Saccharomyces cerevisiae S288C: one gene and its partners. Changing the gene in region 3 together with the main gene of any one other region gives a genetic interaction. Each region holds a gene or a part of one and is shown on either strand. Other genes may lie near its edges.

The links.
Region 1: mutations in PPQ1 (region 3) and YDR262W together harm fitness more than expected from each alone (negative genetic interaction), as found in Saccharomyces cerevisiae (one large-scale study listed by BioGRID).
Region 2: mutations in PPQ1 (region 3) and LOH1 together harm fitness more than expected from each alone (negative genetic interaction), as found in Saccharomyces cerevisiae (one large-scale study listed by BioGRID).
Region 4: mutations in PPQ1 (region 3) and MLH2 together harm fitness more than expected from each alone (negative genetic interaction), as found in Saccharomyces cerevisiae (one large-scale study listed by BioGRID).

The regions. Positions count from the first base shown.
Region 1 is NC_001136.10:986,944-994,452, forward strand, and holds YDR262W (uncharacterized protein), read left to right. Parts: upstream 1-6,190; coding exon 6,191-7,009; downstream 7,010-7,509. Other genes in the region: YDR261C-C (gag protein), read right to left, coding at 4,084-5,406; exodeoxyribonuclease DIN7, read right to left, coding at 7,299-7,509.
Region 2 is NC_001142.9:372,137-379,241, forward strand, and holds LOH1 (Loh1p), read right to left. Parts: upstream 3,639-7,105; coding exon 2,979-3,638; downstream 1-2,978. Other genes in the region: NUP192 (Nup192p), read right to left, coding at 1-1,663; IRC18 (Irc18p), read left to right, coding at 4,526-5,200; SNX4 (Snx4p), read left to right, coding at 6,689-7,105. UniProt on the Saccharomyces cerevisiae protein: Involved in spore wall assembly. May be involved in maintaining genome integrity.
Region 3 is NC_001148.4:204,119-212,178, reverse strand, and holds PPQ1 (protein-serine/threonine phosphatase), read right to left. Parts: upstream 4,023-8,060; coding exon 2,373-4,022; downstream 1-2,372. Other genes in the region: nuclear cap-binding protein subunit CBC2, read right to left, coding at 1-21; TCO89 (Tco89p), read right to left, coding at 4,532-6,931; CTI6 (Cti6p), read right to left, coding at 7,238-8,060. UniProt on the Saccharomyces cerevisiae protein: Phosphatase involved in the regulation of protein synthesis. Affects translational accuracy.
Region 4 is NC_001144.5:211,869-220,421, forward strand, and holds MLH2 (mismatch repair protein MLH2), read right to left. Parts: upstream 2,589-8,553; coding exon 501-2,588; downstream 1-500. Other genes in the region: putative divalent metal ion transporter SMF3, read right to left, coding at 1-65; YLR035C-A (gag-pol fusion protein), read right to left, coding at 3,572-7,039.

The DNA of each region.
Region 1 (7,509 bases), on a different chromosome or scaffold from region 3:
AGGATCAATGAATATTAACATATAAAATGATGATAATAATATTTATAGAATTGTATAGAATTGCAGATTCCCTTTTATGGATTCCTAAATCCTCGAGGAGAACTTCTAGTATATCTACATACCTAATATTATAGCCTTAATCACAATGGAATCCCAACAATTACATCAAAATCCACATTCTCTACACGTCTATCAACTAATAGTTATGAGATATATGTGGGTAATTAGATAATTGTTGGGATTCCATTGTTGATAAAGGCTATAATATTAGGTATACAGAATATACTAGAAGTTCTCCTCGAGGATTTAGGAATCCATAAAAGGGAATCTGCAATTCTACACAATTCTATAAATATTATTATCATCGTTTTATATGTTAATATTCATTGATCCTATTACATTATCAATCCTTGCGTTTCAGCTTCCACTAATTTAGATGACTATTTCTCATCATTTGCGTCATCTTCTAACACCGTATATGATAATATACTAGTAACGTAAATACTAGTTAGTAGATGATAGTTGATTTTTATTCCAACATACCACCCATAATGTAATAGATCTAATGAATCCATTTGTTTGTTAATAGTTTAAATGTTTTTATCGGAAGAGGTTTTGTGTTTGTGCCATATTAATTGTTTATCTCTAGTGTCCCACATGAATTGTATTAACTCATATGTCATGTCTAAAACTTGCCTAGAGGGGAATAGTATATGTTGAGCAAGTGTGTTGATGTAGTATAGTAAGTCAAATCTAAATTTATATCCAACATATGAAGCTAGACCAATCAACTTTTGCATTTCATGTACCTTCTCTTTGTATTCATCTTCATCTATTTCTAGTTCATCCTGGTCTATATAAAGACCTGGTTGACCTGGAGCGCTAAGTTTTCTTCCTTTTGGATTCAAAGGTACGTTTAATTTGGGTATTTTCTCAGTTAATGAGTTTTCCATACCTAATTTCATGTATTTACCTCTTTGATATTTGATTTCTAAGCCAAGTATGTCATATTGAATTTCCTCATCACTTTCGCCTAGATTTATAATCTTGGTGTCGTATTGCATCTTAAGCTTCTCTATAATTCTTTTGTTTGAATTTAGATTTTTGCTAAACAATACCATATCATCTACGAATAAACAAATTGTCACTTGACTGTTTTTAAATACGCATGACCATCCACGAACTTCTTCCATACCACATTGTTGTATCAGGTATGATTTGATAGTTTCGTACCAGTTCGCTCCACTTTGTTTCAATCCATAAAGTGATTTCTTCAAACGTATCAACTTATCATTCATTCCTAAATGTGGTGGAGGTCTTATGTATAATTCTTCTTTGATGTCTGCATACAAATATGCCGAAGATATGTCTAATTGTGTAATATAGTAGTTATTGTCTAATGCAAGTGACAGGGATGTCATTAATGCATAGTGATGTACGGTATTGGATTGCATGCCTGAGTCGTAAGTGTCAGGATGCTGAATATCACCTCTTGCAACAAATCTAGCTTTATGAGTACCGTCACGTTTCTTGTTGAAGATAAACATTGAGTTTATTACTCTTTTAGGGTCTATTTCTTTTCTGTCATAATATTCGTCAGTGTCCCAAGTTTTCATCTTCAACAGTTGATTGACTTCTTTGTGGTATGCCTCGATATATTTTTCTTTTTCTTTAATATCTTTATTATAGGTGATTGCCTCATCGTATCGTAAGGTTGTCCGTATTGGTTTGATTGATTTTACTGCTTTTACAGCTGCAATCAGGTGAATTCGTTTCTTCGATCTCGGAGGTTCTAAACTACGCATATTCTTAGTATTCCATGTGTCTCGTGATACCTTAATTTCAGTTTCATTATCTTCTAATGATCTTTTCTTACTGTTGATAGTAGTATAGGCATTAGAGTCACCAATACCACCCAAACTGGAATTAGTTTGACGAGAATTTATCGGTGGGAGTTCTTTAAATGGGTCAGGGAATTCGGTAGGAGATTCTGGAGGTAGATCAGGGAGTGGGAGATCAGCGATGATAGATTCCTCGGTATTCTGTTCAGAAACAGTAGTTGGCGTTTTGATAGGAACAATATTGTGCGATGAATTATTTTCCGGTGGAGAAGCATCGATTGAAGGTGAACGGTGTATAATCCTTTTCTCAGTCTCTTGGTCACTTATCTGCGGAACAGTTTTGTTGTTGGTACCACCCGTACTGGATATTGGTACGTTTGTATGATTAGTCTCATTTTCACTGTACGAGTCTGAGTGTCTGAAATCTTTAGATTTACTGGCGTGCGACGACTCATGTGTGTTAGATTGGGACATGGGAGCAAGTAAAGGAACATTTAATTTATGCATACCACCCGAACCGGTACTCTCGATATTGGAAATTTGGGGGGTGCTAGATCTCTTCTTTGATGGAAGAATATTAGATTCAGATATGTTGGGGTCAACTTCTCTGGGTGCGCGAATATTGGTTTTAGAAACACGTTTCGAATCTTCAGTATGAGTTGACGGAGGTGTGGAATCGGTTGGACTCACAGCTTTTGAAAGGACATTTCTCGGTTGCTCAGGATGTAGTTCAATGTCGGATTGGAAGTCATGGTCAGATTCTATGTTAAGATCATTGGATTCTTGGATCTCATTTGACGCAATGAACGAATGATATGAAGCAGTTAAACGGTTTAAGTCTTCATCGAAAGTGAGTGCGTCGTAATTGAATTGATCTAATCTGGATTCCTTGCCCTGAAGAATAACATAGTTAGTTGTATCTACTGTCTTCTTTAAGGATGGAAGATAGATGATATATCCATAAGAGTTTCGAGACGGATGTAGAGCGTAGCCTGGGATGCCACGAGGATGTATTTTGGAGTTAGGGTTGTGATCATTGACGATAACAGGTTGACCGAAAGGTAACAAAGTACTGATATCAAGTCCTGCCAAGCCAGCATGTTGTCTTGCAGATTTTTTGCTTTTAGGTGAAGCTAGTGAATTTCTCACAATAGTAGAAAATTCGATTGCAGAGAACCATAAATGGTTCGGTAAACCACTACATTGCAGTTGAGTACGGCAGTCATCTAATAAGGTACGGTTTAGCCGTTCAGCGACTCCATGTGCTCGGGAATCCGCTGTGGTTGTATAGCATGGAGTTATACCATTTTTTTCAAGGAATTTATGGAGAGTTCTGTTAGTATACTCAGAACCACGGTCCATTTGTATAACCAAGACACTGGCCTGAAACTGGTTTTTAATAAAAGCTAGTATCGTAGTAAAAACATCGAGGATAGAGTCCTCGCGACGGTCGTGTAATGGATAAACCCAACGGAATTTTGTTGTCTCATCAGTAAATGAGATGAAATAGGATGGTGCACTATTTGGTAGGTTGTGAACTGGACCAAATATGTCAGTATGTAGGTATTGAAAGGGTTCGTATGAATTTTGGTATTTTAGTCGTGAACCTTTGATATGTCTGTGTTTGGTGCTTTTGCCGATTAAACAATCAGGACATTGATAGTCAATAGCACTAGACCAGTCGACATCTGATTCGTTAAAATACGTGATGGTGTTATTTTTAAGTGAGTATCGAATTGTCTGTGCATTGGCATGCGCAAGCATTCGATGAATGAAAGGATAAGGATATTTGCGTGTACTTTCACTTGTATGGACATTATTGATGGTGGGTACGGAGATATTTGATGGAAGCAAGTACTTTTTAGATACCCAGTAAAAGTCTCCATATTTTACGATAGGTGCAAGTACAGTGCCGTCAGACCGTTCTAAGACGTTTTTGGTAAAGCATGCTGTGATATCTACTGCAGCCAATTCATTCAAACTGAGTAAGTCATAGGCTATGTTAGGAGTGTGCAATACCTTTATTGATGTTTTGGTGTTGTCCTGGAAGTGAAATTGTAGGTCACCAATAGCGTTAATTGGTATATTTCTTTTTTGAGCATCAACTACGTTTATGTCAGGATTAGATGATGCTGAGTGTATGTGATGAGCAGATCTTATAAGGGTTCGTGATGCTCCTGAATCGAGAAGGAGGTGTCCAGGGAGTTCATCATCAGAATGATTAGTATGATTTACTGTAGATTCAGTAAGTTTCTGGCCTAAGATGAAGGTCGTGCTTATTGTTCAATTGAATCGGTTCAGTAGTTGATTTACTGATGGAATCGTTGTCCGTGCTGGGAGAGTTATTAGATGTGGATACATTGTGAGCCCTGGCTGTTTTCGATTTCGAATTATTTGTTTTTTGAGGATTCCGAGCTATAACTTTGGGTTTGGTTGTATTCGTATAGCTGCGAGAATCATTCTTCTCATCACTCGGATTTCTCCTGTAATTAGGTTTACTGTTTCTCGATCCCTGTTGTTCTTCATAAATAGCATGGATATCTAAGAACAGTTCAGCGACTGTCATATTTAGATGTCGATGACGTGTGTAGCGTAAAAATTTATATTCGCCAGATAGACCTCTCATAATTAATTGGCATGCGACCTTGTTATTGATATGAATGCCATTATTGTTCAGTCTGTCGATAATGTTTGTGACTTTTGTTTCAAATGCATCTGCAGGTGTACTGCCATTATATTGCAAATTTGCCAGGGTCACAATGTCGTTTGCCTCTTGGGTATCAGATTGCATTTTTTCAATACTTTTGGAAAGAATTTTCATGATATCCGTATAATCAACGGATAGGATGTCTTTGACCCAGGTAGGTAGGAATTGAGAGGGAGCAAATATTTGAAAAGTGTTATACAAGAAGGTGAGTTCATCATCAGTGATCTGACGTACGGGTTTTCCGTTTACTGTCGGAATAATACCACCGAGATTCGAGTTTTGTAAAAATTTGATGTATGTTTTAACCCAATTTGGAAAGTCATTAGGTGAGGTTAACATTGGTGGTGGTCTGACATATTTTTTAGTGGATGTCATATCAGAGTCCGCTGAGGATGAATCAGTAAATGTATTACCTGACTCAGGTGATGGAGTGCTCAGAGGCGTTCCAACTGATGATGGATACTGCGGAAACTGTGATTGTGGCCCAGGTGGAAAGTACATAGGCGACATTTGATAAGGTGTATACGGAATCATAGATGGGTGTCCGTAAAATGACCAACCAGATGGATTGGCTTGGTTTTGGGTCATCATGCACTGCTGTGGGTACGGCCCATTCTGTGGAGGTGGTACTGAAGCAGGTTGAGGAGAGGCATGATGGGGGTTCTCTGGAACAGCTGATGAAGCAGGTGTTGTTGTCTGTTGAGAGTTAGCCTTAGTGGAAGCCTTCTCACATTCTTCTGTTTTGGAAGCTGAAACGTCTAACGGATCTTGATTTGTGTGGACTTCCTTAGAAGTAACCGAAGCACAGGCGCTACCATGAGAAATGGGTGAATGTTGAGATAATTGTTGGGATTCCATTGTTGATAAAGGCTATAATATTAGGTATACAGAATATACTAGAAGTTCTCCTCAAGGATTTAGGAATCCATAAAAGGGAATCTGCAATTCTACACAATTCTATAAATATTATTATCATCGTTTTATATGTTAATATTCATTGATCCTATTACATTATCAATCCTTGCGTTTCAGCTTCCACTAATTTAGATGACTATTTCTCATCATTTGCGTCATCTTCTAACACCGTATATGATAATATACTAGTAACGTAAATACTAGTTAGTAGATGATAGTTGATTTTTATTCCAACAAGTTATATTATCAATATATTATCATATACGGTGTTAAGATGATGACATAAGTTATGAGAAGCTATCATCGAAGTTAGAGGAAGCTGAAGTGCAAGAATTGTTTCATATGTGATTTATGAACATTTAGCATGATTTATTGTCATATTGAGGTATGGTATGTCGATGATAAAACAAATCCAACAATTGTGAGCGCAAGTGGTTTAGTGGTAAAATCCAACGTTGCCATCGTTGGGCCCCCGGTTCGATTCCGGGCTTGCGCACTTTTTTAGCAACTATTAGCGATCAATATGAAGGGTTTAGAGACTAGGTGCCTGCCTCGCCTACTCAGCATTCGTTCAGTCAATATTTTATATCACCGTTAATAATGATTAAGCAGTTTTTTTTGTTAATAAATCCGGTCATCGGGCTAACTAATCTTCAAGAACAACTAGACGGTCATCCCCTTTTGCTTCATAACTTCTCCTTATAATATAAAAACTTACAAAACGACCATGATATTCAATCTACCTGTTAGTGTGCTGCTTTATTTTTCTTTGATATGGGCAATGGAGCCTAGTTTCGTAAGAGGTAAGAACGTCGTCAACTTAATTACTTTCAAAGATTCAAATGGCAAGCTGCACAAGCGGTTAGCACCAGAGGAAATACCGCCCCGGCTACATAATTCTCAAGTAAATTCTTATCCATTAGGATATAAGGGAATGCGTGACTTTTCAAGACCCGCAGTGAATTTAGATGATATTTTAGGGACACAGCAAAGAAAGCAGCAAGAGTTTTTGGCTGAATTGTCTCCTTTATCCTTAGAATCAAAGTTGTCATTAGTGAACGAGGTCCAAATATTTGCAAGCTATGTGCGAAATGATGTTGAAACATATAACAAAGTAAGTGACCCCAACGAAGATTTGATTATTATTGCACCAACGAACAGGGCTGTCTCTCAGCTTACTTTAAAACCGTGGCAATTTCCGAATAATATTGATAAGCTTGAAAGTGATGGTGCCACCGAGAAGGAACTTGATACGGCAATACAAGAGAATATCTCCAAATTTGTGAGATCTCATATTGTAGTGTACAATGATGATAAAAATTCCTACAAGAAGGTGAGTCCAGGATGTACGCTCCTGCAGAGTATTGACTTCACAGAAAGCAAGAAAAGCGATTCGGAAACTGGTGGTGATATTTTACTCAAAAAAGAAGGAGAAGTATATTATGTAGCTTCCTCCAGAGACGAGAAATTTCATGCCGTCGAGAGCATTGAAAATGGAAGCAATGGTGTTATTTTGATGGTTGATTTCACCCTGGTGGGTCCTTAGTTATGTGTTGCTTATGGTTTTGACTTCCTTGACCCCATACAAATTGCGTTCTTTATTTTTTTTGGTTATAATTTATTAATAATGGCGAGTAGGATCGGCCTATCTTTATGGAGTTTACAACATAATATATACATTGGTATCAATTTGTTTTATAGTTATATTTTCTCTAGTATGTGAACGATAATTTTGTTTTACGAATCCTTATATTAATGCTTAGCTGGGGCCGGTGGAATAAGAATACAACTATGAAAATATTACAACAATACCTTCGAACATATATATACACCACTTAGAAAATTGATGGTACGGTGCCTGAGATCGCTGCTGGTGAGGTCATATAAATAGAGGATGCGTTTTTGTTATCAAGAGAATTCTCCCTCTCCGATAACACGTCCTGCGTATCCACTAGCGGTTGCTCCACTTTCTTATTGAATGAGTTGGATTCACCCCCAAGTAGACCTACTTTAAACAGCTTTCTTGCTTTTAATTTTCTTTCTCTA
Region 2 (7,105 bases), on a different chromosome or scaffold from region 3:
ATGAAATCGAGCTGTTTTCGCCAAAATAGTGATAGACATTCAGGGCATTTTCAGGACCAAAGGACAAGCTAGAAACCATCAAATAGAAACAAGACCTCATCAAGTTGTCGTTGCATCTCGAACACCACTCAATAAAACCATAAGCGTTTGATTCCTTATCAGACCAGAAAGTACATGAATATTCGGGCCTTGATGCATAGAAAAAATATATTGACAGAAAAAATCTTTCTAAGTCAGCCTTTAGTGAGATGTCATCCAAAGTTAAGTCTTCACCGGACAACAAAGAGTCTTCCTCAGCATCCTTAATCTTTGTAAGCAAAAAGGCACAATCTGTAATAATAGTTTGAAGCACATCATCAAAGGATGAGAGGAAAAATTCTTGGGTCTGATCGGATAAAACTATAGTAGTGTAAGAATATTCGTTGACGTTATTGGGCATACTATTTAGTCGAGCGGTACCCGTGGTTGACATCATCCCAGGATAAGACGGATTCCATAAGCCGCGTCCGCTCATATTATCAGTTGCGGATGCTGGGTTGTAGGTAGAATTCGTCGTTTGACTGAAAATTTTTTCATCATCAAGTAACTGTTTAGGAATTAGCCTTGGAATATGCCTTTCTAACAGGGACCTTATATCGTAGAAAAGTTCCATACTCTTGTCTTGTTCCACGATAGATGTATCTGCGGCAAATATTAAAATTTGTTCAATAGCGCCTAGTTCGACGGCAGAAGTCATTGGCTCATCAACATCAGTTTTGAAATCCATCGTGTCAGCCCTTCTTTTAGGGTCTTCTTTACACCACCCAATGAAGTAAGCAAAAAAAATGAAAATAAGAGCTACTTTGACCGGTTTGGTATATATGGAGTCGTCCTTTAAGTCTTTCATAAACTGAGAATGTAATAATTTGACATCTGCATCGGGCAAAACTCTTAAAGATGCGAAAAGGTGGAAAAATGCAGGAGTATAATATATTATAAAAAAATCATTGGAATCCAATTCTGACACATGATGAAGTAAGGACAGTATAAAATCCTTATTTTTCATGATGGCTCCTTTATCCACTAAACCATATAAAATTTGACTCAGAATATCATATTCTCTCAGTAAGAAGTCTCTCCTAAACTTGATATTTTGTTGGAATAAAGCATTATAGTTTTCTAGTATCTGAGCCTTATTGATTTGTTGTTTAATCTCAGATAATTGAGTATGAATGAACTTAAAGGCTGAGAGGATATTAGAAACTAAAGCTCCATTCTTTATAAGCTCTTGGTATAACTCAGTATCTTCGTGGAAACAGTTGACTATAAAAGAAACAATTTGCAGGATATATTGCCTTCTCAAAAAGTATTGTACTTTGCCATTATTAGCGGTGGTATCACCAGAAAGTATAAGTTCACATGCAACAATTTCATCCAAGTTTAATTCATCGGACAAAGAAATAGCTTCGAAAATAAACTCCTGATTGACCTTAAAAGTAGAGCCATCGGATAGTTCAATTTCACCTTTTTCTAATTGTGATCGGCTAGCATTGTTTTTTAGTTTGTCTGTGTTTAAGTTCAAATTTTGTAAGTCAGGAAGTACCTCTTTGAACAGATCAAAATCGAACTCACCACTCTCAATAGAGCGATACAATGTTTGGAAAGGAATTGCAGACCATTTCATTTTTTCTTATCTGCGGAACAAATCTTTTCAACTAGGTTAGATGCCAAGTGATATAAGTTATATATATTTCGTGCTTAGGAGGCGTGTTGTTAATTGGCGTACCCTGAGGAAATAATTTATTAAGTATAGTGTAAACTAAGTGGCTAAGAAAGGTATTGGTAAACTAGTTGAAAGGCAATGGGCGCATTTACTAAATACTACATCACACTTACAAACTAACCTTGTTATTTTCCAGCAGAAAATTTATTTTCATCAAAAGACGAAAACGGAATCATACTACCCGGCCCGAGAAGGACTTTGATGAAGACCGTAGTTAGAATGGGCTCACTAGACTCGTGAGCCGTTTCAGTTTAATTATTATTATATATGTATACCAGTGCTTTACCCAAAAGAGAATATTTACGTGAAATACTACGCTCTTGCTGGGACCTTAACGTGTATATACTATCATAAACTGAGACTCTTCGTAAATTGCCCCTTAACAACACGGTGCTGTGAATGCTATCACTTGATTATACGCCAATAAACTTCATATTCTTTGAAGAGCCGCTGCTATTGCATTTAATGCTAAGGAAGGTTAACAAAGCATTAATGAAGAATAACTACAGGAGTAGCCAAAAAAATCTCCGCGACGGGGAATTGAACCCCGATCTGGCACGCGACAAGCGCCCATTCTGACCATTAAACTATCACGGAAGAAACAAAGCACTCACGATGGGGGTCGAACCCATAATCTTCTGATTAGAAGTCAGACGCGTTGCCATTACGCCACGCGAGCTACTATTTGTTGAAGGTTTTACTACTTTATTATAGTAAAACCTAATTACGCTTTCAATTACTACAATTTTCGGATTTTCACGGCTGGTGAAATAATGCAGCCTGTATTGCATAAAATGGCCGCACTTATGAGAACTGATACAAGTTGTTTACCGTTGGGGCACCAAGGTGTTATTAGTCAGAAATAAATGTAAATTTCTTATACTGCAAAGCAGAGGTACATATAACACACATCGATTGGTTCATCTTGGCTACGACTAATATTTTTGGGATGCAGGTGAATAATTAGATAATTGTTGTAATTCCATTGTTATTAAAGGCTATAATATTAAAGGTTATTTGGGTCTTTCTCTCTCTCGGCTTTATTTTATTTATAGTTTCTATCTTTCAGCTTTCAAAAAATAATATATATGGCGCTTCATGAAAAGAGAGCTAGCTACAGAAATATAAACAGTCATGGATGAATAGGCGGCGGCAGCTATGCCGGTGCATGCGCACAGTATAATGGACTTAAACTGCCTTAGTACAACTGTTCAAGTTATTGAATAGCATTATATATTAGTGCCAACCAAAATATGAAACCGATGCTTCCAACTGTCACCCCAAGAAGACACGCAAAAGGTGCTACTGCACATAAATCGGCCACTCCTTGAGCTAGACCCAATTCTAACAGACTTACAGTTAGGATTCTCTTTATTCTGTCTAGTCGTTTCTTTTTTTCCCTCGCTTCTTTTTCTTTTTCGTCTTCTCTACCACCATTTATAGTAATTCGATTCTGTTCTCTACTGAGGTTTTCTAAAGCATTAACTACCTTGCCCCTGGAGACTTCTTTAAACTTTTTGATATATTCAAATGGTGAAACATTCAAAGCCGCATCTAGTGCCTTTTCCACCTTTTCATATTCTATTTCGAGCGACTCTCTCTCATTATTATCCAAACTTTTCACTTTATAATTTAGCACCGCTTCTAAGCCCTTCAAAATAAAAGTATGCTGCTCATATTTTGCACTAATGTTTTGAATTTGTCCCTCGATAATAGGCACCTTCTCTGCTGTCAATGTTTCGTATGTTCCATTGTTGTCCAGATTTCTCAATGATGTGATTAACCTATCGCCCGCATCGCTGAACTGTTGTATTGTGTTAGTTCCTGCAATCACAACAATGGTGAAATAAAAATATATGAAAAGCTGGAACCTCATTTGAATTAGTTTACTTCACTAGGCTCTTTTATCTTCACTTATTGTTTTGTGGTGTCTATTTTTTTTACTGACAGTTTACACTTTTATAGTCTTTAAAAAAGCAAAAAAAATAATTCTTTTATTTTTATCCCAAGATAATAAATATTTATGTATTGGATAGTAGTATAATTGAGTATAAAAATTATTTTTGTAGTACTTTTTCAAACTAATCTCTGCAAGACATATCTTCCATATTTTCACAATTATTTAAGCCGATTGCAACAACATTCACCATAGGTGCCTTTTCTGCGGCAATGCGTAGCCCTATAATTAGCTGCTTGAATGAGAAAACCACAAAAAGGGGGATTGAATACATAGCATAGCTTACACTGTATCTTAGTAATTTTTTTCCCTTCTACTTTGTTTTTCGCAGGGCCTTTGCCTTTGGAAAAGGGTACACGAGTCTTAAGAGAAATGAAAAAAAATGACACTAAATCGGTGATAATAATTTGTCGTTGTGACCACAAAAAAGAATTCATAAAAAAAAAAACTTGATCATTGGCGCCACAACCTAGTCATATTTGAAATCATTTTTTTCCTTTATTTTTTACCACAGGGTGCGTTTAGAAGAGACACAAAATCACTCTAGGGTTTTCTATCGAACATAAAGTAAATCATTTTTATATTCCAAAATTGCTCGAAGTAAATCTCTTGTTTTCCTCCCAAATGAAGATCAATATTAAACCTTTCTGAAAATCTTTTTTAATACAGATTACATTATAGAGTTGTATACTCTTCGATCATTTAACTTCTCTTTTATGGGTCATATATCTCTAATTGTCTCTACAGTACTTTTTTTGCTTTTCCAATAAAAATCATAATCACAGCCATAGTCACAAAACTATAAGATGAAAGTACAAATGATAGAAAGGATTTTTCTGATCCAGTTGTGTTTGCTTACCGTTGTATTAGCAAGTAGTAGAGCAGTGGTTGAATTCGAAAGTACCGGAACCAAACTGGTCAACTCATTAAGGGTCTTGGCTGCTTACTCGCAGAGTTCTGTCTGTGTTGATGAAAAAATATCTGGAATCGAGAGACAAATAGAGGAAGTTAAAGATATGTATGGTAACCACTCTTTTATTCTAAAGGGTTTAAATGGTATATTGAATAACAAGGTGAATATGCTAACAAGGGAAATCCAAATGGAAACTGTTGGCAATAACACATTTGAAACAGAAACAGGGAAGCTAACTAAGGGCCTAAACCGAGCAGTAAATATATCTCCGTTCAAGTACATAAAAAAATTCAAGACCGTTTCAACAAAGAAATTTGAAAGCCTCTTGAATAAGTATGATCTGGTTGCCAAGAAGGGCGGGGAATTGACAGAGGAACAAAAGAAAAAGAAGGAGGTGCTCTCACGGATCAGTAGAGTAGTCGCTGCAACAACGATAGAGGCTGGTCTGGCACAAGGTGTGGTTGATTTATGTATAACAGTGACAACTAGTCTATGCTTAGTCTCGGCCAGCATTGGAGGCGTCGGATTTCTTATTTGGCTCACCATTATATACCAAGCTCTGACTTAGGAAAATGTTGCCGATTTTGTTTTTGCCACTCCTGTACATTGTTTAATCTCAGATCGTTGTATATATATACATATATATAGTGTTTTAACGACATTCTTATATTTGCATTTCTGCTTCTTATTACACCTAACTATTCTGTAACTGCCATGGGTAAGCATTTTTGAAGTATTAATTAACAATTAAACTTTCAAACATACCCACCCTTTCGTTGGAATAAAAATCAATTAACACCCACTGACTAGTAAATATTACTAGAATAACTGATGATTATGCCAATTTTCTGACAGTTGTTGGGTTTCCATTGTTGACGAAGGTCCTATTATTAGATATACGGAACATACTAGATCTCTCGAGCCTATCGGAACCTACTAAGCGGAATCGGCAATATACATGTTATTCATTTTTTTCGTTTTTCGTTTTACATTATTAATTTTACGTCTCAACTTGGTTCAATTTCAGAGACAGCATCTCATCACATCTATCATCTTTTTGTACCACATAAGGTAATATACACGTAATAATAGGCAATAGATGTGTGCGAATGAACTTCCAATATAATCCATTTAGTAGTGCCTTTTGTTACTAATATTCGTCAGTTTCTCAAGCTGACACTTGATTTATTCTAAACAAATTTCAATCTTGGACAATTAGTTGACATAAACTACGTTACTAATTTTTGTTGTATTAAGGGCTTAAATAATACCGGATGTCTTGGCAATTCTATCGTTAGGAGAGTAATAGTTGTCAGACTTATTGTCGGCTTGTTCGCACATCGTTACTTATCCTATATTATACATAAGATCTGGTGAAGCGAGGAGTCCCATGTCTAAACCGATTGCTCAGGTATTTACAGGTTTAACTGCTTCATTTAAGCAAGCAATTATTGAATTATATACTCAATCTTGTCTCTCCCGTTACTATTATTTCATTCGCGTTTTATACATCTTTATTATTATAAGTTTGATACGGTAACTTTACAATCGATTAATTTCTGCTGAAAGCCCAAGCTTTCATAAATTAATAGGTTTCGTGGTCTAGTCGGTTATGGCATCTGCTTAACACGCAGAACGTCCCCAGTTCGATCCTGGGCGAAATCAATTTTTTGTTTTTTTAATTCACAAGAATAACCTGGTATTGTTATAAGCAAGCCACCCTTTGCGTACGATCAAACACCCTATAAAATCTATATGCAATACTGAGATATTGTATTTTTTCTCCTTTAATTGTTTATAGTTCAGAATAACAGTTCAAAAATCTATGCCGCGCTCACAGGGTCCTGCCGGGTATTCGCCCTCCAGCTTGAAAGGGGTGGCAATGCCCAAGAGCGATGTATAGTTTAGTATCAAGGAATTGAGAGAGGTATTACACCAAGGATTTCCGTGAACGAAGTGACGACGCAAGATTAACAGATTAAATTCTGGTAGTAGGCTAAGCCGTTATTAAACTTTATTTACGGTATACCACAATACTGCTCTTTTTGTTGAGGATATGACAGACAAAGGCAAGAACGATTTAACAAGCAAAGCTAAGGACAAAGCCAGAGGCAACCCCGAGAAGCCACCATATTGGTTTGAAATCATTGTTTCTGATCCACAAAAAAGAACTGGTGACCCAGGCTCTTCATCTGGCTACGTGAGTTATCAGATATCAACAAAGACTAACAACACGTCATTTTATGATAATCGTGGCGATCCAGAATCTATTATAGTTGTACATAGAAGATACAGTGACCTATTGCTCCTGCATGATATTTTACTCAACAGGTTCCCCACCTGCATCATCCCGCCATTACCTGATAAGAAAGTTTTTCAATACATAGCAGGCGATAGGTTTAGCCAAAGATTTACACAAAAGAGATGTCATAGTTTGCAAAATTTCCTAAGAAGGGTCTCTTTGCATCCCGAT
Region 3 (8,060 bases):
GTCAAATTCTTCCAGGGACATCTTTCCCTTTATTTATTGGTATATTAATGGATGCAACTTTTATTCGATATTAGTCCTTTCGGGACTTTAAAAGCTGTCGAGACACTTTCTCCATATAAACTCATGTTCTATATTCATACATATAATATTTTTCTTGAAAAAAACACAAAAACTGTTAAAGCGGGTAATACTTTGATAAGCACTTATTAACGTTTATACCATACACTACTTCATACACCAATTACAAATCTATTAGTGGTATACTTTTACTGTAGACAATGTGGATTTTGATGTAATTGTTGGGATTCCATTGTGATTAAGGCTATAATATTAGGTATATAGATATACTAGAAGTTCTCCTCAAGGATTTAGGAATCCATGAAAGGGAATCTGCAATTCTACACAATTCTATAAATATTATTATCATCATTTTATATGTTAATATTCATTGATCCTATTACATTATCAATCCTTGCGTTTCAGCTTCCACTAATTTAGATGACTATTTCTCATCATTTGTGTCATCTTCTAACACCGTATATGATAATATACTAGTAACGTAAATACTAGTTAGTAGATGATAGTTGATTTTTATTCCAACATTTACTGGTACAATAGGTGTATGATATTTTCCCAAAGTTTAAATTTATATAATATAAGTGGCTTGTGCATTAATGCTCTTGAACGAAACTGGATAACGAAAACTGCAAATACTTGTAGTTTTAAACAGACACTTTCTGGGATAGGTCTATCAGCGAAGCTTGGGAATGTTTCGCCAAATTACCTGTATCCTTTCATGAGCGTGAGCAGGTTTAGGTCATGGTCACATCTTATTATATAAATTCTTTCAGAAGATTGTCAATTGTCCATCTATCGCCATAGATTATCTGAGAGCGAAGTTCCATTATGTCTACTAGTAGAAAATAATTTGAAGTTGAAATATAATAGCATTACAAAATTTTTTCTTTATATAGTCCGGTCTTGAAGAAGGATAACAATATTAAGTGTATGAAGACACAAGAACTTTTTCTTGGAAATTTGGATTTTTATGGGAGGAAACCTACAGCGGCAATGTATAATTATGATTAGTTCATCCTTTGCTGCCATCTGTTCGCAATTATTCATGCAATTGTATGATTATTGTCAGGCATTTCAACTTCCGGTAGATTCGTTTGTAATAATAGGTGAATTTTGTGTTGACATTATCAAACCGTTAAGATAGTGTTAGTTGCCAATTAGCATTTGCCTCGATAGAATGTGACGTTAGTTGTGGTACTAGGAATAAAAGTTGATGGCCAAACATTTTTCCTGCACATTTCCTTCAGCGTTTTCAGAAAAGAGAATTTGAGTAAAAATATTTTTGATGTTTAGGTTACCAATATCTCATTAATATAAATTTGAAAACAATGAATTTTGGGTTATACTTGGAGTGCATTTTATTGTGGTTAAAGGCTACAATATTAGCTAAACAGAATGTACAAGTAGTTTTCCTGGAGAATAAAAGAATTCTAAAAGAGAATCGATAATTCTATACAATAATATAGTTATCTCTTCTTTCGTTTATGTACTGTCGTTCTTGTTTTATTACGTTATTAATCCTTGCAGTGCACTTTTCATGATGACTGGTGACTGTTTCTCAATTTTTACATCATTTTTTTTTGAAAACATGATGATATACTAATAATTTGGATACTAGCAATAAATGCTTCTTGATCCTCTATTCCAACAAAAAAGTAACAAGAGCTTACTGATCTTCGGTTTTTATTTTACCTTATCCCAAATATCAAATTGAAATATACCGATTGTTTTAATCCGTTTTGTTGTATATTATCGTAATAATATGCAGATAATATACATATATACGTATTACGCCGATTAGGCTGACACTTTAACAAAATTTTCTGTCCAATTATTGTCCGATATAGTGTAACGGCTATCACATCACGCTTTCACCGTGGAGACCGGGGTTCGACTCCCCGTATCGGAGTTTTCTTTTTGCTTCCTTCCGCCCTTCCAAGTTGTTGCATAATCTTATCTGTCAAAATATGAACGCTTGAAAACTATAGATTATAATTATCATTTATTTAGCCATAATGGAGGGAAGAATAATATGATTGCATATCAAAGGTAAAAAAAGTCGAGTAAATGACTTATAAACGTAAAAAATATATTGATAAAAGACATAAACGAGGCCATGAAGGTGGGAAAAAAAAAAATAACTGCATAATAATGTTAACTAAATGAAAATAAAATGAAAAATAAAATGAAAAATAAAATGAAAAAAACAAATCATAGGACAAAAAGTTTCCAAATGAAGGATAAGAGGCCTAAAAACCAATGTGCTTTCCAGGCAAAACCAATCTTAGCAACAGCTACACTTTGGTTTTGTATAACTTCTTTTTATTTTTCAATGCACGCGGCTTTAACAGTTCAAAGCTACACATCATACCCGTTGTAACGCTCATTACTGCCCCCCAATTATGAAATTCTCCACAATAATTTGGTGCTGAAAAGATTGTGACAAACTTTTTCCTGGCAAAGAATTCATAACCATCTTCTACGACCATATGTCCCCTAAGTATTAAATCGAATTTAAACTTAGCACAAAAATCAAGAACGTTCCTCTTAGAAAATGTGTATGAAACACCACGATCATTTTCTGACCAATCAGTTACTTGAGGGTCTGGGTCACTCCACAGTAAGTCTGTAACCAGCCCGCTTTCAGGAATATCCGTTGGTCTTGCGACTTTTTCGATTTGCTTCATGTCATGTAAATCGGGCGATATACCTCCATGAACGCAAAAGATCTTATCTTGAATAATTGCTGCTAATGGCAAAGTATTAAATACGTCAACGAACATTTTCCATACTTTCGAGCTCAATCGCCTTTTGCATTCATCATAGAAACCGTACATCTTTGTGACATTAGCAGATTCGTGATTACCCCTTAACATAAAAAAGTTGTCTTTGTACTTTATTTTGTAACATAATAACAATAGTATTGTTTCCAATGAGTTCTTACCACGGTCCACATAATCACCCAAGAACAGATAATTAGTATCAGATGGCACACCAGACAACTTCAAAATTCTCAATAAATCATTAAATTGTCCATGAACATCACCGACAACTTTGATAGGCGCTTGTAATCTCAAAAGAGTAGGTTGATTCAAAAAAATTTCTCTTGCATGATAGCAAATGAGTTGAATTTCCCAAGAATGGAATGGAAAGTTCTTTTTTTTGGACGTTTTTGTAATTTCTCTTGACTCACCCACTTGTAGTAATTTTTCGATCGCAACATCGATATCAAGACCTTCATTTGAAGAGGTATCATGAGAATACCGTCTCAAAAATATAGGCTTCTTGCTACTTTTAGGATTAGGTATCCCAGATGTTGGGGACGAAGGCGCACCAAAAGAACCTGCCTTAACCGAAGATGAAGGAGACTTAACTCTGGACGATAACCCTGAAGATTTTAAAAATGATGAGGTTGATGAGGAAGCAGACGTAGCGGATGAGTAGTAGGAGGAAAAAGAATATGAGGATGGAGAAGAATAATTTGATTCACGATAAGAGGGTGATGTCAGGATATTATTTGAGGTAGTGGCAGTGGTAGTAGAGGAAGTTCTTGCGGTATTGATCAGCTTCGGAGCAGTTGCTGATGAGGATAGGGCTTTAGCGACAGAAACATCGATATCTAGGTACAAGCTCTTCAAGTTTTCATCCTTAGTGTATATTTTCTGTTTATGGGCATTCTCACCAGGAATGAGCAAATTATCATTGCTAGCTCGTTTATTGTTGTTGTTTTTCCCGGCCGATGCTAAAGTGTTGTAATTGTTTATAGAATGTTTATTATTGAATTTCTTGATAGTAGGTAGAGACCTACTATCATCTGGGTCATTAGGTTCGTTACTGTTGAGATCATCTGAAGGTGTAGTTAATTGTTGCTGACTAGAGTTTGAATTAGTTGAGCAATTCGGTACTGCAAAGTTATTATTTGATCTGGACGGGCTTCTTCTCATAAATAGAATATAAGTGAAGGGAAAACAATATCTAACTTGAAAGGAAAATGGACTAAAGTAATAAAATAGGTTTTTTGTAAGGACAAGCTTGTAAATGAAACGTCAGAGACTCGGTAAAACAAGATTAATTTGAATGTAGTGATTCTGACCGATAGTATTTATAGTCCGTGAGGAATACTTACCAAAAAATTGCTAAAAGAATAGACACGTTTAAGGTATATTTACTAATGCCATTTTTTAAGAGATACGGAATCCAGCGAAATCGCTAAATTTGCGGTGGTTGCATTCAACGTTTTTCTTTCTTTTTGTTCGATAATTTATCATTTATTACGTTAACCGGGTTATACAAATACGCCTCGTTAGCTCGTATAGAAGTACATGTCCTTTTATAGTGCATAAACATAGTATGTTCCTTAAGTGTCCAAACATATTCGCTCTCTACGAACTTCGCGTTTTACCTCGAAAGCATTAGCTACTCTTTTAAACTGTGTGCTTCGTGTTGGTTGTTTTCACCTTTGTTGTGGCTGTGTATGCATGTAGCCCACATTTTCCATCCTGCGATTCACTGCCCTCGTAGTCGGCTGCAGAGAGTTAATGACGCGTTGGTGGTGCAAAGTCGTGCTGGAACCCATCGGGCCCCTCAGCAAGTTACGTGCATTCTGTGAAGCAGTGTGGCCAACGCTGTGGTTTGTACTCGTTGTCCTATTCTTGTTGATTGGATTAACATCCTTGTTAAATAAGTAACTTTCGCTTTTCCATATACCGGACAACACTGCCTGAATCTTTGCACTTGCAAGATGTGGATAAAGATCATCAAATTTTTTGTCATAGTTAGTAAAGAGCAAATCGTCCTCATCCTTATGATCTGTATCACTGCTAGAATGTGCGATTGACTGAGCATCGTTATGGCTTTTTTTCCTGATATTATTTGCATTTCCCGTTATTATAGGTTGTACTCTCAACAATGCTTCATCTAATGGGTTGTAAAATCTTTTTACATTAGAGTATTCATGGGATATTCTCTCAAACTCCCTTTTCGCATCAATGTTTCCTGCCATAAAGATAGAGTCACTACCGTCATTTTGTGAACTTAAGTCCATAATAGAATTCTCCCTCTGCAACCATAATTTTCTTTGTGTTCTTGATTCTGCATCAATCCCATCTGATTTAAGGAACTGGGCGAAGCTATTAAATTTGGCACCTGAGTTGGATTGTCTGTTTGCATCGCTACCGGAGTTCGTACTAGATGTAATATGTTCGTTGGACAATGGAGAGGCCGGGGCTGCAGAATTTTTGTTGAGATCGTTGGATCTCAGAAGTAGATTCTGATTACCTTTCTTGTGAAAAATATTATTCATTCTTGAACCATGGAAGCTTTCAGGAGCAGCTCTCCTCAAATTATTGGTTAAACTCGATATGGAGGTCGAAAAGTTGTGCTGTGGTACATTATTATCTTTACTACCGATGTTAGCAATGGTGGGGAAAGTAGACTGAGAGTTCGGTATATTTTGGCCAAGTTGAGATCTTCCACCATTTTTCTTGCTCTTGCGCAATTTGCCATCATCCAGTTCATTAAAAGTATCACCTGAAGCCATATGCTCACCCGAGTCATGAATTTCATTCCCAAGCGAATTTTGGATGGATGATGAATTTTCAAATCTACGTTCAACTCCAGTCGACTGGGAGAGAATCATATTAGGCGCATAATTTTCCAGTAAGCTATGCCCTTCAATATCCTTGGTACCAGCGGAAGAAATATCATCAGGCTTGATTAGATCTTCTTCTTCGTTTAATAATTTGTGTTGTTTAGAACTTTGTCTCCTAAGAGACATAAAGCTCGAGTCGCTTTTTCTTGATGAATTACTCCTAGGGGCATCAATGTGATCTTCCTGATCAAACTGTTCATCTGAATGACTTGGTTTTTGATTACTTTTATGTGCAGCTAAGGTATTACCAACATCAAGAATTTTTTTTTCTTTATCATATGGTGCTTCTGATATATTATCGCCCGCTTTAACCAATGAGGCCCTCAAATTTTGAGAATGGCTGGACAAGTCATCAATATCAGCTTCCTTCGTCACCTTTGATTGCCCCTCTTCATTGATTACACTTGTTGCATTCAGTTTTGTTTCAATTGAGCTTGGAGATGTTTCTCCATCTTTCTGATGTTCTATAGAATGGCTTGATTCTCCGAAATAGTTATTGGAAGATAAATGAGGTAATGGTAAGGATACAGCTCTATGATTTTCCTTTCCATCAGTACCTGATTTATCTTCTTCTTGTTCATCTATTGAATCCGGGGATTGTAATTCATTCTGATTTAATTGCTGCACATTCTTTTTTTCTTCAGGCATAACATGCTCGGCTATTACTTTATCATTATTCACCTTTCCATCTTCAATGTTGTCTTCCGAAAAACATTCCACCTCCTCGTCAGTAGTAGATTCACTCTTTTTAGATTCTTGCGCATCTCGAAGACTCAGAACAGATTGGGTACTTTTACTTCTTCGTGGTTTCAGGCCGAAACCAGCAGTTCCAGTATTAGAATGACTGCTGTTCTTTGGACTGAGCAGCGTATTATGCACCGGACTATGAAAGGATGCTGATCTTTTTCCTTGATTGGACTTTACTCTTGTTAAAGCTGTCATATTCAACCCACTAATCGTTCGCTTTCTGAAAAGTGCATCAGAACTCTTGCATTTCTGAGAAACGTTGTGCTTATTAAAATAATCATTATCCAGGGTGCCATCATGTGTTAAAACTCTACGCAAACCTTTGAAGCTTGCGTTACTCTTTGCTCTCGACCTAGTCGAAAACTGTCTAAATGGCTTTGACTGGTGTGATACTGTTGACGCATTAAGAGATGTTACATCAGTGTCTGACTTCAAAGTCCTTCCTCGATGAACCATAATTATAGTTACTCAGTAAGGATATATGATATATCCCAATATCTATGTTTACCTGACCCGTAAATCGATAGAATGTGCTAGTCCATTAGATGTTTGGATTCCTTAATCATCGTGCCAGCCAAATCGCTATACCATCCGCAACTAGCTATCCTTGCGGTTACCCGTACAAGAGTAAGCTCGGTTGATAAAAACAACGTTGAATTAGTCGTTTTTATATCCATATAGATGTATATATATGTATAGATGTGTTTGTTCGCCTCATTACAGTTATACTTTGGTTGAGAATAATATTGCAGTGTTTTGCGTTTATTGAATGGCATTAGTGTTATTTGAATATTTTTTCTCCCATAGTAGTAACTCTCTAGTCAGGTCGTCCATCATTGATAGACTTTCATTATAACCGTTGTAAATCGTATCAACTTTTTCTACGAAATGCTGGTTTTCCACGAATCGTACAAATTCCTCTCGATCAGACTGATCTTCACTCAATTCCCATTGAGTTCTAGAAATGAACTCCAAAATAGCGGATACCCTTCTTCTCATTTCGTTTAATGAGGTCCTTTGAGGGGGTAATCTGGGCTTTACTGGTTTGTCGGTACCTATATCAGCACTCCTTCTATTTTGGTTGGTGTCTGAACTTGTATTGCTTCGACGAGTTCTGTTGCCCTTTCTTGCTGGTTTGGAAACTCTTTTAGAACCCCTCGAACTAGCTTTCCTTGAATCATCCTCAGAAGAAGATATTGAGGTTAGGGGTAGGATGGGTTCATCAGTTTTCTCAGTGTCTTGCGCCGAACCCGTAGAAGATTCCTTTTCTTGACTAGCTTCTTTTTCCACATCATTTGTTTTTTCCATTGATTGCTCTTTCGATGGTCGTAGGCTTTCTTTCATATCATCATTTGTTACCGAGTCCGGTTTGCCTTCCGTTAGCATAACATCCGTTTGTAATCGAGTGGTGCCGTTGTGATTGTCGGTATCACCTTGGTATATATCAGCATCATTTTCATAACTTTCAGGATCTTCTTGATGTGATGTCCTCCTGCTTTCTTTCAAGGCTTTTTCAAGCATTCTTTGATATTGCTTTTCTTCTCTTGCCATGAAAGTTGCCCTTTTTCTATCCAGTAGCTTCTTA
Region 4 (8,553 bases), on a different chromosome or scaffold from region 3:
CTGACTAATATCCCTGGCCCAATAAATTTGGCAAATTTTTGAAGAATCTGCATATAAGATCGCATTTTTTTTCTCTTGTGATGCTACTACTGTTATCAATTAGCTTGGAAGAACGATATATTTAAAGGAGTTCAGAAGGAAATAATAGTTTGGGTATGACAACTGAAAAAAAAAATGAACTAATATATAAAGGAACCCCGTATATTTATGTGGAGTGATCTTTGTCTTCTAGCTCCTTTGAAATAAATATTCAATTATGCAACCTCACAGAATCAGATGAATGAGATATATACAGTATAAATACCTTTAGTCGCATGACAACAGGATGTCGTAACAATGCAATATTAGAGCATTTTTAAGTTGACCCAAAACGGAAATTTCAAGGTGCGGAAACTGGAAGAGAGGCAGGGCGGGCAACAGGGTGCGGTTACCATGAGTTACAAACAATGGTCTATTATGAAGTAATCTATTGTGCTGAGTGGTGATAGTGCACCCGATCATCAGGGGCTGTCTGGCGTGAAGAGGCACCATTCATTTGTCGTGGCTTCAATGTGTCCCGGTTTCTTCACATGCGCTCGCAAGGCTTGCAAAAGACTGGAAGAAGGGCTTGTGGCATCGTCCCTCGATCGTAACCACAGAGTTTCTTTGGCAAAGTTATCGCTGTCATGCTTAACAATTTTTTCATTCTTCAGGGTATAGACGTAGTTGTTGGTATACTCGGAAAAATGCATGAGTTTCGGCCTTGTTTTGTGCATGCAGGATGCTTTCTTTATATAATTATCAGTTACTTTTTTTTTCGAATTTCGTGGAATGGTCATGTCCACGGTATTGTTTCTTTTACCGTAGGTTTGCTGAAGCTTTATTAGTTCCTTTTTTTCTGTATTTGAAAGCTGTCTTTCGTTGGGCATTCCCCTTTTATTGGCATCTCCACAGCTAGTACGTTTGGCCTCAAGTAAGTTTTCGCTCAGTTTCTTGTTGACGTTTCTTATTTTTGTGATCATAAAAGGATTAGAAATAGAAGCGTCCTTAGAAAGTTCTAAATCCTCGTTCTCTGGAATAGTTTCTATATAGTTATAAGTTAATGACGAGGGTAATGTTGAGGATCCAGCTCCTGCTACTTCACTATTTTCGCTTAGTTCTTGTTGGAAATTATGTCGCCAATTAGTACTGTCCTCGGAAGCCATAGACCCGGAACTCGAGCTTCTATAACTTGAAATGGTCAGCTGAGTTTGTTCGTCAAGAGCTTTATCCTCGCTAAATTTTGTAGGTGAAGGAGTAGCAGCGACAATGGTCGTATTCTCTAAGTTTGCTTCATCGTAAAAAGTTGGTACTATCAAATCTGAGTTTTTTTGTGGGATGTCAGTCTTGTCTTTACCACTAACAGCACCACAGCCCTTTGATATTTCATTCTCTGCGTCGGGTGTAGGTATCACCAGTGCGGGAGAAGTTTTTTCGTTGATAGAAGGCTGAACATGTTTATCTCCCAGCATATTTGTTTCGATGCCAATTCTCTCCTCCAATAACAACTTTAACTTATTCTCTATCTTCTTAAATATCACTTCAAAACTTTTGATCATCACGTCATTTTTCTCTGGTTCGATATTTACGTCAAGAAGCTTTGTATCGCAATTTAAATTAATAAACCAAACCATAGGATCTAGTAAAGAGAAATCTCTATAGATTGACGATAGTAACTTAGAAATAGTCTTCCCCGTCTCCAAGTTCAAAGATAGCGCTCTCTCATTAACAGATAAAAATTTAAATCGTCTCTTTATATTAATAACGTCAGATTCTGGCACCATCCTCGGTAAGATCAAATCTAAATTTATTTTTTCGTCGATAACAAAGTTTTCTTCTACAATAAAGTTCAGCGGCACAGGCTTTTTTAGTCTAGCTAGTAGGGACAAACTTCTAGCTCTAGAAATCTTAGGGTCTAACGTTTCTTGCATTTGTTTACGCTCTATGGCACCATTTTTTTGTAATGACACCAACGAAAAATAAAACCGAATATTTCTATGAATTAGAGAATAATGGTTTATTAAATAGATTAGTTCATCGAATGTTTTTCTTGGCCTCGAAGAAATTTCGAGATACCTTGCTCGTAACCCTCCCAGAAGTTTCCTTAATATTACTGTAGTCCCCACGGGACAAGATACCTTGTACCTTTTTCCATTGGTAATACCACCCTTACTATCAACTAACCATTTTTCTCCAATGACATCATCTGCAGTTTTTGTTTCAACCTGCATTGAGCCTTTCTGGTTACACAAGTTTGACAAAAGAAACAATGCTTCACCTCTGAATCCAAGAGTAGTCAGAATCGAAATATCTCCGAGACTACTCATCTTTGATGTGGTGTATTCCAAGCACATAGAAGGTCTGTCGATAATATCCACACCTGATCCATCGTCCTTGACTGATATATATTCACATCCTCCCGTAGTGGAATCTACATCGATGAATACTTTTTTAGCACCCGAATCGATGCTATTATCTAATAATTCCCTTACAGCAGCTACCGGACCGTAAATAAAGGAACTAGAAACAATCTTCCATTGGGATTCTGGAGATAACTGATGTATAGTCATCCAAAACTATGAAAAGGCGTCTGTTCCTCAAACCGAGATGATGGGATGTGAAATAACTTTATATGTTTATAAAAGTGATTACTTTTTCTTGTATGGGCGCCAAAAAAGGGCCATGTATATGAGGGATATGGACGACAGTGAGATTATTTAAATAGCAAAGACTACAGTAAAAGCAAAAAAGCATTGTGCCAGGGCAATATAGCGAGCACTACTTAAACCCAAATTAGGTGACAAGTGAAAGGTTTGTTATGCGCAAAACTTATAGATAATGCAGAAGGTAATCTTTTCTGCTGTACTATATGTTCACATTGCAGTGTTACGAATAAATATAAGGATATATAGCTCTGCTTAAGGGGTTTTCTTGGAATCGAGTCGAGTTATTCTAGAAATTGTTAAAAATAAAGGAGAATAAAAGTAAAAAATAAATGGACGCAACCGGAATCGAACCGATGACCTCTTCCTTGCAAGGGAAGCGCGCTACCAACTGCGCCATGTGCCCTAAAACGCGTACAAAGGAGAGGAAATTATTTGACTACTTAGTACTGTTTTCATAGGTAAACCCTCCACTGTGGCTAAGATGAGTGTTATTCTTCAACCTCATAGAAAGCACGCATGTTACTTTCTGAGATATATGTGGGTAATTAGATAATTGTTGGGATTCCATTGTTGATAAAGGCTATAATATTAGGTATACAGAATATACTAGAAGTTCTCCTCGAGGATATAGGAATCCTCAAAATGGAATCTATATTTCTACATACTAATATTACGATTATTCCTCATTCCGTTTTATATGTTTATATTCATTGATCCTATTACATTATCAATCCTTGCGTTTCAGCTTCCTCTAACATCGATGACAGCTTCTCATAACTTATGTCATCATCTTAACACCGTATATGATAATATATTGATAATATAACTATTAGTTGATAGACGATAGTGGATTTTTATTCCAACATACCACCCATAATGTAATAGATCTAATGAATCCATTTGTTTGTTAATAGTTTGAATGTTTTTATCGGAAGAGGTTTGGTCATTACGTCTGCAATATTCTTTTTGGTTTCGATATAGCATACGTGCAGATGATTTCCTGATACTTCATCTCTTAGTCTCATTGCTTTAGTACCAAAAAATCTGTTTCTAAATTTCTCTTCATTATTGGATATAATTATACTGATTGTAGATTTACTGTCGGTTAGTAATCCTTTAGTAATTGGTTTCTTGTTAAGTTCTTGCACAAGGTGACTGAGGTTATTTAATAATGGGACAGATTCACTTATCGCGTGTATTTCTGCTTCCGTAGTTGAAGTACATGTTAATGAAGCCTTGGTGGACTTTCCTCCAATTACTTTTCCATTAAGTAAATATATGTTGCCAATTTGTGATTTATAATACGGTTGGTTACCATACGATGCATCGCTTATAACAACTAATTTATTTGTTGGCTTAACAGGTTTGCTTTTGTGCCATATTAATTGCTTATCTCTCGTATTCCATATGAACTGTATCAATTCATATGTCATATCTAACACTTGCTTGGACGGAAATAGTATATGTTGTGCAAGTGTGTTGATGTAGTATAATAGGTCAAATCTAAATTTATATCCAACATATGATGCTAGACCTATCAGCTTTTGCATTTCATGTACCTTCATTTTGTAATCATCTTCTTCTAGCTCTAGTTCTTGCTGGTCTATATATAGACCTGGTTGACCTGGAGCGCTAAGTTTCCTTCCTTTTGGGTTCAAAGGTACGTTTAGTTTGGGTATTTTTTCAGTTAATGAGTTTTCCATACCTAATTTCATGTATTTACCTCTTTGATATTTGATTTCTAAGCCAAGTATGTCGTACTGAATTTCGTTATCACTTTCACCCAGATTTATTATCTTTGTATCGTATTGTTTCTTGAGTGTTGTTATGATTTTCTTATTTGCATTTAAGTCTTTGCTGAACAATATCATATCATCAACGAATAAGCAAATTGTTACTTGACTATTCTTAAATACGCATGACCATCCACGAACTTCTTCCATACCACACTGTTTTATCAGGTATGATTTGATAGTTTCGTACCAGTTCGCTCCACTTTGTTTCAATCCATAAAGTGATTTCTTCAAACGTATTAACTTATCATTCATTCCTAAATGTGGTGGAGGTCTTATGTATAGTTCTTCTTTGATGTCTGCATACAAATATGCCGAAGATATGTCTAATTGTGTAATATAGTAGTTATTGTCTGATGCAAGTGACAGGGATGTCATTAATGCATAGTGATGTACGGTATTGGATTGCATGCCTGGGTCGTAAGTGTCAGGATGTTGAATATCACCTCTTGCAACAAATCTAGCTTTATGAGTACCGCCACGTTTCCTGTTAAAGATAAACATTGAATTTATTACTCTTTTGGGGTCTATTTCTTTTCTGTCATAATATCTGTCAGTGTCCCAAGTTTTCATCTTCAACAGTTGATTGACTTCTTTGTGGTATGCCTGGATATATTTTTCTTTTTCTTTAATATCTTTATTATAGGTGATTGCCTCATCGTATCGTAAGGTAGTTCGTATTGGTTTGATTGATTTTACTGCTTTTACAGCTGCAATCAGGTGAATTCGTTTCTTCGATCTCGGAGGTTCTAAACTACGCATATTCTTAGTATTCCATGTGTCTCGTGATACCTTAATTTCAGTTTCATTATCTTCTAATGATCTTTTCTTACTGTTGATAGTAGTATAGGCATTAGAGTCACCAATACCACCCAAACTGGAATTAGTTTGATGAGAATTTATCGGTGGGAGTTCTTTAAAGGAGTCTGATAATTCGGTAGGAGGTTCTGGAGGCAGATCGGGGAGTGGAAGATCAGCGATAATAGATTCCTCTGTATTCTCCTTAGGACAGGTATCTGACGTTTTGATAGGAACGACGTGGTGTAGTGAATTACTTTCTGATGAGGAAGTATCGATCGAAGGTGAACGGTGTATGATCCTTTTCTCAGTCTCCTGTTCGCTTGTCTGCGGAACAGTTTTATTATTGGTACCACCCGTACTGGATATTGGTACGTTTGTATGATTAGTCTCATTGTCACTGTACGAGTCTGAGTGTCTGAAATCTTTAGATTTACTGGCGTGCGACGACTCATGTGTGTTAGATTGGGACATGGGAGCAAGTAAAGGAACATCTAATCTATGCATACCACCCGAACCGGTACTCTCGATATCGGAAATTTGGGGGGTGCTAGATCTCTTCTTAGATGGAAGAATATTAGATTCAGATATGTTGGGGTCAACTTCTCTGGGTGCGCGAATATTGGTTTTGGAAACACGTTTCGAATCTTCAGTATGAGTTGACGGAGGTGTGGAATCGGTTGGACTCACAGCTTTTGAAAGGACATTTCTCGGTTGCTCAGGATGTAGTTCGATGTCAGATTGGAAGTCATGGTCAGATTCTATGTTAAGATCATCGGATTGTTGGATCTCATTTGACGCAATGAACGATTGATATGAAGCAGTTAAACGGTTTAAGTCTTCATCGAAAGTGAGTGCGTCGTAATTGAATTGATCTAATCTGGATTCCTTGCCCTGAAGAATAACATAGTTAGTTGTATCTACTGTCTTCTTTAAGGATGGAAGATAGATGATATATCCATAAGAGTTTCGAGACGGATGTAGAGCGTAGCCTGGGATGCCACGAGGATGTATTTTGGAGTTAGGGTTGTGATCATTGACGATAACAGGTTGACCGAAAGGTAACAAAGTACTGATATCAAGTCCTGCCAAGCCAGCATGTTGTCTTGCAGATTTTTTGCTTTTAGGTGAAGCTAGTGAATTTCTCACAATAGTAGAAAATTCGATTGCAGAGAACCATAAATGGTTCGGTAAACCACTACATTGCAGTTGAGTACGGCAGTCATCTAATAAGGTACGGTTGAGCCGTTCAGCGACTCCATGTGCTCGGGAATCCGCTGTGGTTGTATAGCATGGAGTTATACCATTTTTTTCAAGGAATTTATGGAGAGTTCTGTTAGTATACTCAGAACCACGGTCCATTTGTATAACCAAGACACTGGCCTGAAACTGGTTTTTAATAAAAGCTAGTATCGTAGTAAAAACATCGAGGATAGAGTCCTCGCGACGGTCGTGTAATGGATAAACCCAACGGAATTTTGTTGTCTCATCAGTAAATGAGATGAAATAGGATGGTGCACTTTTTGGTAGGTTGTGAACTGGACCAAATATGTCAGTATGTAGGTATTGAAAGGGTTCGTATGAATTTTGGTATTTTAGTCGTGAACCTTTGATATGTCTGTGTTTGGTGCTTTTGCCGATTAAACAATCAGGACATTGATAGTCAATAGCACTAGACCAGTCGACATCTGATTCGTTAAAATACGTGATGGTGTTATTTTTAAGTGAGTATCGAATTGTCTGTGCATTGGCATGCGCAAGCATTCGATGAATGAAAGGATAAGGATATTTGCGTGTACTTTCACTTGTATGGACATTATTGATGGTGGGTACGGAGATATTTGATGGAAGCAAGTACTTTTTAGATACCCAGTAAAAGTCTCCATATTTTACGATAGGTGCAAGTACAGTGCCGTCAGACCGTTCTAAGACGTTTTTGGTAAAGCATGCTGTGATATCTACTGCAGCCAATTCATTCAAACTGAGTAAGTCATAGGCTATGTTAGGAGTGTGCAATACCTTTATTGATGTTTTGGTGTTGTCCTGGAAGTGAAATTGTAGGTCACCAATAGCGTTAATTGGTATATTTCTTTTTTGAGCATCAACTACGTTTATGTCAGGATTAGATGATGCTGAGTGTATGTGATGAGCAGATCTTATAAGGGTTCGTGATGCTCCTGAATCGAGAAGGAGGTGTCCAGGGAGTTCATCATCAGAATGATTAGTATGATTTACTGTAGATTCAGTAAGTTTCTGGCCTAAGATGAAGGTCGTGCTTATTGTTCAATTGAATCGGTTCAGTAGTTGATTTACTGATGGAATCGTTGTCCGTGCTGGGAGAGTTATTAGATGTGGATACATTGTGAGCCCTGGCTGTTTTCGATTTCGAATTATTTGTTTTTTGAGGATTCCGAGCTATAACTTTGGGTTTGGTTGTATTCGTATAGCTGCGAGAATCATTCTTCTCATCACTCGGATTTCTCCTGTAATTAGGTTTGCTGTTTCTCGATCCCTGTTGTTCTTCATAAATAGCATGGATATCTAAGAACAGTTCAGCGACTGTCATATTTAGATGTCGATGACGTGTGTAGCGTAAAAATTTATATTCGCCAGATAGACCTCTCATAATTAATTGGCATGCGACCTTGTTATTGATATGAATGCCATTATTGTTCAGTCTGTCGATAATGTTTGTGACTTTTGTTTCAAATGCATCTGCAGGTGTACTGCCATTATATTGCAAATTTGCCAGGGTCACAATGTCGTTTGCCTCTTGGGTATCAGATTGCATTTTTTCAATACTTTTGGAAAGAATTTTCATGATATCCGTATAATCAACGGATAGGATGTCTTTGACCCAGGTAGGTAGGAATTGAGAGGGAGCAAATATTTGAAAAGTGTTATACAAGAAGGTGAGTTCATCATCAGTGATCTGACGTACGGGTTTTCCGTTTACTGTCGGAATAATACCACCGAGATTCGAGTTTTGTAAAAATTTGATGTATGTTTTAACCCAATTTGGAAAATCATTAGGTGAGGTTAACATTGGTGGTGGTCTGACATATTTTTTAGTGGATGTCATATCAGAGTCCGCTGAGGATGAATCAGTAAATGTATTACCTGACTCAGGTGATGGAGTGCTCAGAGGCGTTCCAACTGATGATGGATACTGCGGAAACTGTGATTGTGGCCCAGGTGGAAAGTACATAGGCGACATTTGATAAGGTGTATACGGAATCATAGATGGGTGTCCGTAAAATGACCAACCAGATGGATTG